Linked DNA regions of Schizosaccharomyces pombe. The gene in region 3 interacts genetically with the main gene of each other region. Each region holds a gene or a part of one and is shown on either strand. Other genes may lie near its edges.

Evidence for each region. Genes that interact genetically often act in the same process or in processes that back each other up.
Region 1: of ecm33 (region 3) and ubi1, extra expression of one rescues a mutant of the other (dosage rescue), as found in Schizosaccharomyces pombe (one study listed by BioGRID).
Region 2: of ecm33 (region 3) and aah3, extra expression of one rescues a mutant of the other (dosage rescue), as found in Schizosaccharomyces pombe (one study listed by BioGRID).

The regions. Positions count from the first base shown.
Region 1 is NC_003424.3:3,967,414-3,970,097, forward strand, and holds ubi1 (ubiquitin-60S ribosomal protein L40 fusion protein), read left to right. Parts: upstream 1-1,582; 5' UTR 1,583-1,595; coding exon 1,596-1,982; 3' UTR 1,983-2,145; downstream 2,146-2,684. Other genes in the region: isocitrate dehydrogenase (NAD+) subunit 1 Idh1, read left to right, coding at 1-492; S-malonyltransferase Mct1, read right to left, coding at 2,420-2,684.
Region 2 is NC_003421.2:833,042-837,837, forward strand, and holds aah3 (GPI-anchored glycosyl hydrolase family 13 protein), read right to left. Parts: upstream 2,988-4,796; 5' UTR 2,620-2,987; coding exon 925-2,619; 3' UTR 540-924; downstream 1-539. Other genes in the region: mib1 (DNAJC11 family protein), read left to right, coding at 4,564-4,617, 4,679-4,796. UniProt on the Schizosaccharomyces pombe protein: Has a role in cell wall biosynthesis where it is involved in maintaining cell wall strength and shape.
Region 3 is NC_003424.3:1,569,057-1,573,510, reverse strand, and holds ecm33 (extracellular leucine-rich repeat domain, receptor L domain-like Ecm33), read left to right. Parts: upstream 1-1,921; 5' UTR 1,922-2,250; coding exon 2,251-3,516; 3' UTR 3,517-3,898; downstream 3,899-4,454. Other genes in the region: SPOM_SPAC1705.02 (uncharacterized protein), read right to left, coding at 4,208-4,295, 4,351-4,447.

The DNA of each region.
Region 1 (2,684 bases), 2.4 Mb from region 3:
ATCATGAAATTGGCCGACGGTCTCTTTCGAAGGACGTTTTACGACGTTGCTAACGGTTACGACGCTATTACTCCTAAGGATTTAATTGTCGACAATGCCTCCATGCAGGCTGTTTCTCGTCCCCAGCAATTCGATGTTTTAGTGATGCCGAACTTGTACGGTAGCATTCTTAGCAACATTGGAAGTGCTTTGGTCGGTGGCCCCGGTGTCATTCCAGGTGCCAATTTTGGTCGTGACTATGCTCTATTCGAGCCTGGTTGCCGTCATGTTGGTTTAAGTATTACTGGACGTGGGGAAGCCAATCCTACAGCTGCCATCCTTAGCGCTTGCTTGATGCTTCGTCATTTAGGCCTAAAAGATTATGCTGATCTTATCAATGCCGCTACTTATTCTGTCATTGAAGAGGGTAAAACCCTGACCAAAGACTTGGGTGGTTCGGCTTCCACTGGTGATTTCACGCATGCCATTTTAGAAAGAATGGAAAGCTTATAATTTAATTATTCCCCCCTTCCTTTTAAATGATATACCCTCCTGTTAATGAGTGTAATGAAAGCTATTGAAGTCTTAGGCTTTTAGCCGTGTCAACTACAATTTTGACGCTCATGTTACTACTCCTTTTCTCTAAGTAAGTTGAAACGTTTCGGAAGCTTTTTTTGATATTTACGTCTTCTATCAGTTATGATAACACCTCTTCCGTCGGCAAGGAACTCCTGCCTGACAAGAAGATGATGAATTTTTCTTACGTACGTTCCGAATATGATTGATATTTTAATTTCATTTTTGTGTGGATTTTCCATACTTTGTAGTGTCTGGTTTGTTCGTCCTTATTACTTTGTATTTGATGTAAATTATGGAATTCTACTTTTTATAGCATAAATGCCTGATTAGTCAATTTTGGAACGAAAAAGGTTTGATAATTTCCATTGTGCCTCCTCTAATAATCACAATTGCTAGATACGTCGATTTTCCAGAAAGATAGAGGATGGTAATTAGTTTCCTAAAACCCAAGTTTTATTTTTAAAATTTAGTTATGAATACTCTTAAAGAATAATTTAATAATCTTTAACAGGATTTAGATTAACATAGTGGTTCACAGTCTATTCATGTAGATTTACACATTCATCTATCTATGTCGATAACAGCAATGCACAGCCCTTAAATGTGAAAGATGTGTCTTTTAAAGTAGTAAAAGGTTAGTTCAAACACATTACTTAACTTATCTCCAACCTTCGAAGTCATTTATATTCCAGTTGTGTAAGCGACCTTTGCAACTATCGTCGTTCTTAGGTTCAACTAACAATATGCGCAACATTTCTATATAGGCTAATCGAAGGATGCCGGCTCCTCCTAATGCCTATCAATATATCCAAAAATTAGGAGACCATTTATCGTCAAAAATTTCTCAACAATAGCCATATCTTCTACCAGACTACAAAATATACCATAGTATTTTACTATGCGTTATAATATTTTACTGAATTTGTGCTAAGAAATTAATGTCCACCGCTAGAGGACGCACTAAACGTGACTGCTTTTTTCGGTAAGGGCTCTTACGGTGCTTTCAGTGAAGAAGGAATCCTTTGTCCACCACAATCATGCAGATTTTCGTCAAGACTTTGACCGGAAAGACTATCACCCTTGAGGTGGAGTCCTCTGACACTATTGACAATGTCAAGAGCAAAATCCAAGACAAGGAAGGAATTCCTCCTGACCAACAACGTCTTATCTTCGCTGGAAAGCAATTAGAGGATGGCCGTACTCTTTCTGACTACAACATTCAAAAGGAGTCTACCCTTCATTTAGTTCTCCGTCTTCGTGGTGGTATCATTGAGCCCTCTCTAAAGGCTTTGGCTTCCAAATACAACTGCGAAAAGCAAATCTGCCGTAAGTGCTATGCCCGTCTTCCTCCCCGTGCTACCAACTGCCGCAAGAAGAAGTGTGGTCACACCAACCAACTTCGTCCCAAGAAGAAGCTCAAATAGATTATTTCTTTTGGGGTATTTCGTGTTCTTGTTATTTCTGTCTTGGTAACTTTACAGATAAAGAAATATTAAGAATATTTTGGATTACACGGATGTAAACATGTGAAATTCACTGTAGTGTAGCAAAATTCGAGCAATAAAAAATACTTGTCTTAAAACTGTATCCTTTGTAAGAATGTGGAGCTATTGTAGTGTGGATAGTATTTGTTGTTAACGATTACAGTATCATTTAAATTGATGGTGATGCATTTGATTGTGCATAGCTTTAAAATGTTATGTTAGACGATATGCATTCCTGTAATTATTCTAACTCTTGTCAGAATGCCAAAAGATCATGTATACAAATGAGCAACATCATGACTGACTAGGTAAAAGGAAAAAAATTAATGGAATTACAGTAGAAAGGCTAATTTTTAACTACTCGCTTCGAAAAGTCCTCATGGACGAGACTTGGTGGAAATTCCATTCTGCTTTGCTATTGATTGCATCGTAGTCCCAGGACCATATGCATAAAATAAGTTGGCTCCATATTTGCTTTTGACTGTTTTGAGGCAATTTTTAAATAAAACAGGACGAAAACACTGTAGCAATAATTGTCTCCTTATATCCTCTTCATCAGCTGGATAAAGCTCAGCTGTGACATTAGATATGATGGGTAAAAAGCGCTTACCAGAATCCGTATAACAGAGTTCTGGAGAAATA
Region 2 (4,796 bases), on a different chromosome or scaffold from region 3:
GTTCACTTTTAAAGAATTAAACGAGTGATCCAGTTACTCTAAGATGATTACAACGTTTAGTATCAGAATCTCAGGTAAGGTCTCCAGACAAAACGAATACTGCCTGTTCGACAAAGATCGCTCCACACAGTATCTGCTAGCTTACAATTATTCTCCTTCTCCTGTTAATTTAGCAGTTGAAACACAACATGTAAACAATAGCAAATTACGCGGTCGTTTAGGTTAAAGACATCTGAAGGTCCCAAAAGTTCGAACTTTTTAGTAACTACTGGTTACCTTTATCCAAGAACAAAACTTTCTTTAATTACAAATGGAATATGAATACGGGTCCGTGGAATGGGGAATTTTAGAAATGTTCAATGATTGTAACGTAAACCAATGTTAAGTAACACCTGCAATTATGTGACTTTTCCATCAAAAAACTATTAAATTTAAATGAAAGCGTTAGAAAAGAATATAAGTTTAAGTACAAATTTTATGAGCTTATGGTGATATTGGATGACCTACACCTTAATATACTAACAACATGTCTACTCGATAAATTTTTTTATTTTTACTTACCAATGTAAGCAAATGTTTTTGATGTAAAGCGAAACTACGCATAAGAACTGTACTTTTTCATTTGGTTGTTAAAAAATGCAATATTACTTTTCATTGACTATTCCACTAGGCAGATAATTTTTTTCATTTCTGCTCCAAGACAATAGATATGCCAGTTTAAAAGATATGTATGATAAAAAAAGGTTTACAAAGACAAATAATAACAAGTGAGAGATTAAAGCATCAGAACAAGAATAAGCTGTAGGCATAAATTAACTCATTCTCATTATATGGTTATTAGATTCAACCCAAAAAATGACCTTCCTTGACGAAAAAAACGCAAATTGTTAAAATTTTAAAAATTAACGCGGTTATTTGGGCATTCTAGAAGAATAAAACAAAGAGCATTGCGGTAACACCCAAGCCAAAAACTAAAGTCTTGAAAGAAAGGATAAGTCTAGATGATGAAGAGATCGTAAATATACTACCAGTACCAGTAAATGATCTGGCAGAATAAGAAGGAGAGTAATAAGAGGTATAGACAGTGGTTGTGGCAGTTGCCGATGTAGATGGCATGACTGTACGATTGACAGTTGGTAATGTAAAACCAGACATCTTCGAATGTGGATACATAATCAAGGGATATCCGTTGGTCATACTGGCAGTCAAGGTTTTATCGGCACCAACGGTTAAAGTTCTGTGACCGAAGACATCAGAGACTACTTCATTGGCAGTGTAATTCGTCTCAACTTCATAAATTGTAAGGTTGTTGGTAACTCCCATATTATTGAACATGACGAGAACATCATTTTTTTGTCCAACATAGTGATCAACAGCAGATTCGATCGATTGATATGTGGAAGTGACCCAATCCGGATCCTGAGTAATGACAAACTTTCTAAATGCAACCATCGTTTTAATAACGGTATAGTACGGGTTTGATTGATCGTAATCAGTAAGCCAAAGTGCAGGACGATTAGCAGGATCCTCACCACCATTGAATCCCTGTTCTTGTCCGTAGAAAATTGAGGGTATGCCGTCCCAAATCAACACAAATGACAAAGCCCCCATAATCTGTGACTGGTCACTTGTGTAATAAGGAAATCTGTACAAATCGTGATTTTCGATAAAAGTCAACATTAAAGTACTATCATATTTTGAACAGTTTGAAGCCATTACCTCCTGGTAAGTGGGAATAAGAGTGAATCCAGCACCAGTAGCAGTAAAAGAGAAGTTTATGTACAACTGCAAAAAGTAATTGGTAACTCCAGGAAGGACACTCATGTAACTACACATAGTATCAGGATCATAAGAGAAAACTTCACCAACGCTGTAAACACCCGTAGCATCAACGAAATCAGGAAAGAATGTGTAGTTCATCATTTTCACAGCATCAATACGCAGTCCATCAAAATCGTATTTAGAAATAAGACTTTTGAAATGATCACTCAAATAGGAAGAAACGTCTGAACTTTCGACATCCAAATCGGCCAACAATACACCAGAATCTTGCCAACAATCCATTACGTTCGTCTCATTATCTGTGATATCCCAATCAATAAGACAGTACGGATGGAAGTAGCTCTCCTTGTTAAAAGGATTAAGAGATGAATAGTCAGCATCTGCTAGCGGAGGAGCAAGTGCCATAGAATTGACGATACTATCCAACATTACCCAGATACCCGCTTTATGAGCAGCAGTAATAAGGCTAACTAAATCATCTTCTGTACCAAAGTGTTCATTGAGGGACTCATAATCAGTGTTCCAATAGCCGTGATAAGCATAACCAGCACCGTCGATATCTCCTTCAATATTTTTATCAATGGGAGATATCCAAATCGCATTGAAACCCATATCCTCGATGTAATCCAGTTTGTTCTCGATACCCTTCCAGGTACCACCACAATACTGGTTTGCATCCGGATCACATGGATTATCCGTGCTTCCATCATCAACCGCGAAACGATCCGTCAAAATTTGATAAATAATACGTTTGCGCCACTCAGCATTACTACCAGCATTAGCAACATGAATGAGGGCGCTTGAAAGAAATAGGAGAACAAAATAAACACCAAACATGCTAAAAAAAGGTATCAAGGGGTATTTAAGCCAAGACGACTAAAAGAAAGAAGTTTGGGAGAGCACAAAAAAAATTATGTTTTGTAAAAGTTAATGATATGAGCCAAATCCCACCAAAAAGAATGACAATAAAATACTAATAATAAAGGAGTGGAAATTGTGGGTCAAGAAATTATCAATGCAGTACCAGTATTGAATAAACAAAAATCTATGAAGAAAGAAAGCGGAAGTGCAAGAGCCGACTTTACGTCGAATGAAGGGACCACGTTAAAATTTTTCAAATGTACGTCCGAATTGACGCTAGTCTCCTTAGAAACCTTCGTTTTCTTGCAAAAGATTGTAAAACCTGTTTAGCGGTGTAGTTTGTTGAAGGATGGATACGCTGGTAGCAACAAAATACTAGGCGTAGGTAAACAATCTAATATATCAGCGTTCGAATCCGGCTGCCATCACATTTTATTTAACCCGTTTAGCAAATAGATGAGGTGCTTAATCAACAATAACGACGACAACCTCTGAGCTTCACGAATATGCTAAATTTATAGCGCTTCACTAAATCGTATACCGGTTCGCGCTAAATAAAAACTGATGCTTAAATTCAAATTTCTGTGTTAGTAAAAGAGCAGATAAAGCGAGGATAAAAATGTAGGATGTTGATTAAGACTCTAAATAGAGTAGCGCAGAGAATAATACTAAATACTGAAAGACCGATCCCGTTAAACTAATATCAAATCCATAGCATCAAACAGAGGTTTGTATTATGTATCCTATGAACTATCCTCATCAATAATTGCTTATTATAATATAACATAAACATATACAACTTTCGTGTAACTAGCCAAGGACTACTATAAGTAATATGGTTTATTCATACAATGCTAGTTCCTATACCTATAGAAATTCGTTTCCTGCTGAGCTTATTTTAAGCTATGGGTAAGCGAGTCAAAAACCAAAGACGCTATTTGTAAAATGGCAAACGAAATTAGGTATTCTTGTTTTAATTATAAGCTTAAGAGACATTTGACATCTCGTTGGTAGTAATAGAAACTTGTTTTTTAACTTGTTCCATTCGCTTTAATGATAGCTGCACTGCCCTTGGTACTTTATTCTTGAAACTTTTTAGATTTTTTATATATCACAAAGCTTTTTCTAGTTCACCATTCTCAATTTTAGTGCTTCCTTAATCTAATAGTTGGTTTTGTACGCTGAATTGGTTTCGCATTTAAAAGTGCATTAGTACGTTTTTGAGAATCAAGTATAAGACATTTCAAGTAAATTGAAAAATTCCTGTCAGTAATACTTTATATCTAAGTCAAATGGTGTCATCTGATAATAAAATCCCTCAACAGTATTATTTATCAAACGAAAAATGTCATTAGTCATGAAAAGCTTCATTCGCTTATTTGTTTTGAAATTAAGAATGAAAGTTATGACTACATATCAATTCATTAAGCTGATATCTTTAGTATGCAATCCATTATTTTATACCATCTCCACTTTTTGTAAATCATTAAACATAATATCTAAAGCCAATTTAGCATTATTCAAATTCGAGACTTATTATTTTAAGTTTGTCTTAGAATTTCATAGTTTGCAAACTGTGTAAAATGAAATACGCATGGGTTTGGCAATTATACAAAAAGCTGCTCCCGAGCACAATTAGTTTAACTAGTAAACTCATGCTTTTCGAAATGGCATCAAAGCCAAGATAATTTGATCATATAAAGTTTTATTATTTAAAAGTTCCTATATTAAAATACTGCTATAGCTCACTCTAATCCTACAACCTACATCAAACTTTACATTACCTTGGTCACTTATAGTGAGCACATACCTTGATCATACATATGTCTGCACGATCCATACTCTAATCTGTGGTTTCTGAAAATTTACACGTAAATTAAGATAATTTGAAGTAATTTATTTTAAAATAAAAGATTAGTCATGGATGAAGCGGATTCTTGGGAGCTTTATTTGGCTCTTGGACTTCCCAAAGATGTAAGTATAAATAATCTCATTTGGGAATGCATATTTTATTAACATTTCCTTTAAACTCTAGGCTACAAGTGACCAAATAAAAGAATCATATTACAGACTATCAAGACTGTTTCATCCTGATCGTCACACTGCTGACCAGAAGGCAGCAGCTGAGGAAAAGTTTCAAATTATACAACATG
Region 3 (4,454 bases):
ATACGAAATTTTAAATAAATAAAAAAAAGCGCGGCTCAGATAAATTAAAGATATACTTTGTGTATTAAAAATCAATTTCTTTTATAATCGCAGCGATTAACTACTAACTCACGTCACACAAGAGAACAAATAAAAAAAATAAAAAAAAAATAAAAAGGTTCCAAATAGCAAAACAGTCTTAAATGAGTGCTTTACTCAATTTGTATAACGGGCATCTCCATCAGACTACAACGCCGCTTTTTACTTGAATATTTGGACGGTAATTATGATTACACTACGAATGTAAAAAATAGGCAAGTTACAGTAATCAAAGTTAAATTTTTAATATGAGTTGATGTGTAATCGCTCCTATAAGATTACTTCGAGATAGAAGGTAAAGGAATTTATAAAAACCATGACGGAACTAATCACCTTAAGATGCTTTTTAACAAGTACCCGAAATCTCTGGAGTTAATCATTTCAACTTTGTGTAATAAATGATGCAAGCATTCTACTGACTTAATATTCATATACATTCAACAGTCTAGCTTACAGTGCACATGTATAGCAAAAAAACATTTTATGTTTCAGCATACATTTTATTACCTTGGAGTACTAGCTTCTAAATACAATACATATTCTCCAATTAGGGCATTTATTCTAGATCAATATTTAAAATATCCACATTCATATTCTATTCCTAAATCATGCACAGTAGTCTAGAATTGTTCAACCTTCAACAATGATTAAATAATTTTCTGAAGCAAATCATCCTAGACAGTGGAAGATAATATAGCTTATTCACAAAAAAAATAAACATAAAATCAACTTAAAAATCATTTATGCCTTTCAACATTATTTCTGATTAAACTGTATTGCCAAAATAATTTTGTAGACTGTTGTTTGCTATTTCTTAAAATATTGAACAAATTTGAATAATCAAGTAGTTTTTTTCTCACTCAGTGCATCAAAAATGGGAAATATAAATTACTTAAGTTTTAAAGTAATAACTGGATGTCACACAAAGATGAAATACACAAAGGCCAAAATAATCATCGAAACTACAAGAAGTTAAAAAGTAACAGGTAAATGCTTCTGAAGTACAGTACAGTTCAGTCTAGTCAATCAGTTGAATACCGGTATGACCTTTGCAATCTTTTCTCCTTCAACTTGCTAAGCATATCCACTGCGCCTCTACTTCTCTACAGCACGGTAAATACTTTGTTTACATGACTAAATAAATCTGTTTACACTGCAGATGGACAGATCGTTGCTGCGGTAACGGTAATTGTCAGTAAACAAATGTCTGAAACCATTTACGGAAACGTAAATACCGTTGCATATGAGCGAAAAATAAACAAGATTAGCATAGCTGGAAGAAGCATTTTCTATACCAAATAATATTTATGATTTTCTGCTTTTTTCTAGTATAAAAAAATCCTACCTCTTCAGAGATCTGGTGACTGTTATTTTTCACTAAAACAAACAAGTGATGTCACGTTTAAAAGCCCGTGAATGTGACTTTTTAAGGGTCAAACACTGCGGTTTGTGTCTCTCCCTTTAAATGTTTATGCGATGAATAACCTTAAAACCAAAGCTGGAATACAAATGAAGTTTTGACAGAAAATACAGCATTGTTTACATTGAGTGTTTACAATTCTCAATCTGTAAAGAGTCGAACGCCTTGTTGTCATGCCAATGTGTTTAACGAGAGTCAAATTACTCGTAAACGTACAAGTTTAGCCAATAAACGGTCTTCAAAGTTTGGTCGCAAGCTCCTCGTTGGTGTTGTGGCCTAGCAACCAGCAATACACAATTACTCATTGTTTACAGTAAACATTGCAACGAAATTGCGCACCTCGTTGTCCCCCTTTTTATCTAACAAGTCACAATTCTTTGCATTTTCCGGGTATATATAGATGTCTTTTCCGCAACTCGCTTCATCCTCAGCGAACTACATTTGAGTTTTAAACACTCTTTTACTTCTTTATTCATTACCCACGCATTCATTTATAAAACATATCATATATATTACCCGTAATATATAGCATATACCTTTTATAAATACCCGCTATTCTGCATATCTTTTGTGGTCAATCTCTGTCTTTTTGATTATTACTACGTTTCCCCTTATAAACGCATTTTACATATTTGTCCTCTTTCTCTTTTGATTTAACAAATTTACCTTCATATTCCCTTTTTGCATCCTAAAAACTATCTTTCGTTATATTTTTCCAATCATATTTCTACATTATATAGTCTAAAGTCAATATGTTGTTCAAATCATTCGCTCTCACTCTTCTTTTCGCCGCAGCTCGCGTACAAGCTGCTTCCAACTGCTCCAGCGGCCCTTACAATATCTCCGCCCAAGGTACTCTTGACGAGCTTAACAGCTGTACTGTATTGAATGGTGATTTGTACATTTCTGATGCTGGTAACTCTGGCATCACCACCCTTACTGTTAATGGAATTGAGTCCGTTCAAGGTGATGTTGTGGTTTCTGATGGTCAATATTTGACCTCTCTTTCCTTCCCTTCTTTGAAAAACGTTTCTGGTGCTTTTAACGTTAACAACATGATCCGCATGAACAACCTTGCTACCCCTGAGCTCACTTCGGTTGGAAGCCTAAATCTTGCTGTTTTACCAAACTTACAGGAGCTTCAATTTAACGCTGGTCTTTCCGATTCTGATAGTGTCGTAATTGATGACACTCAACTTCAAGCTATTGACGGTATCAGTTTGGATTCCGTCACTACTTTCCAAGTAACCAACAATCGTTATATTCAGGAGATCACCATGGAGGGCCTCGAAAGTGCTCAAAATATCCAGATTTCCGCTAACTCTAAGGGTGTAAGCGTAAACTTCAGTAAACTTTCTAACGTTACCACTGCTACTTTTGATGGTATCAGCAACGTCTTTATTGGTAACTTGAAGAGTGCTGCTGGTAACTTGTATTTCTCTAACACTACTCTGGATAACATTTCGGTTCCTTACCTTACCGAAATCGGACAAAGTTTTGCTGTTTTGTACTCTCCTGAGCTTACTTCCCTCAACTTCCCTAACCTTACCACTGTTGGTGGTGGTTTCGTTATTAACGATACTGGTTTGACTTCTATTGATGGTTTCCCCGTCATCTCTGAAATTGGTGGTGGTTTAGTTCTTCTCGGTAACTTCTCAAGCATTGATATGCCTGATTTGAGTGATGTGAAGGGTGCTCTCACTGTCGAGACTAAGGCTACCAATTTCACTTGCCCTTGGTCCAATGATGACAGTGTTATTAAGGGTGATGATTTCACTTGCCAAGGTAGTGTTGCTACCATTTCTGCTACTAGTTCTTATGATTTGTCTTCCACTGTCTCTGCTACTAGTGGATCTGCCACATCTGCCACTGGTTCTGCTACCACCACTTCATACTCTTCTGATTCTTCTGCATCTTCCTCTTCCTCTTCCTCCCATGAAAGCTCAGCCGCTTCTAACGGCTTCACTGCTGGTGCTTTAGTTTTGGGATCTCTTTTGGTTGCTGCTCTTGCTATGTAAGTGTCGTCATGAACAATTTGTTACTTTTTTTATCGAAAGTATAGAAAATTAATATTTGAATGTTACCGATACTTATTTGGCGAGATGAGCTGGCTTATCTCTGGTGATGTGGGTTACTGAAATGTTTATTAATACAGGCCGTTTTATTTTCTTCTTTATAATCGGGTGTGATTAAACATATATCTTTAGAAGAGATTAACTTCTATATGATCTTAGAAAAGTGTTGAGAAGGTTTGATGTTCCTTTTCTTTAATTTGAGCTTTAAATTATTTATATGAGTTGCTCTTAGGCTATTTTCAAAGTTATTGATTTTGCCTTTTTTATAATTAGTCTATCGAATATTTGCATTTAGTATATCTTGAATTTGATTTTTTTAATTTTTAATACAAGGCGCGCGGTAGTTAGTAATAAAATAATTTGATTGGCAAAGATGAGACATAAGGCGTATGATATGCATAACCGAGAGTTAAGAAATTACGAGTAAATGATTAAGTAACTTAATGGGATGTTATTATAGATTGCAAGACTACCGAGTTTATTTACTCTTTACTTAGAAATATAGATTTTATTGTTTTTATCAAAATAGAGGTAAAATTGAAGAAAAATAACAGAATAAAGAGCCAATGTACTGTGGAAAAACACCACTTAAAAGGATGGAATAAACTGCCCTTTAACAAAATTTCGAATATAGTTATTTTTTTCCTTTTGAGCCACCGTTGGCTTCCGCTGCCTTGCGCTCATCAGCTGCACGTTGTTTAGCACGCATAATTTCAGCTTGACTTAAAATATTAGCTAATTGGTTTTTAAACAAAATCCTGATTCCATTCCACTTACGCTTCAAGACGTTTGGTAGGATCTCCGGCTTGTTTCTTTTTAGAAGCTTGAGACTTCTTTAAATTGCGAGCACGGTCAACATCACGCTGATTTCCACCTAGTAA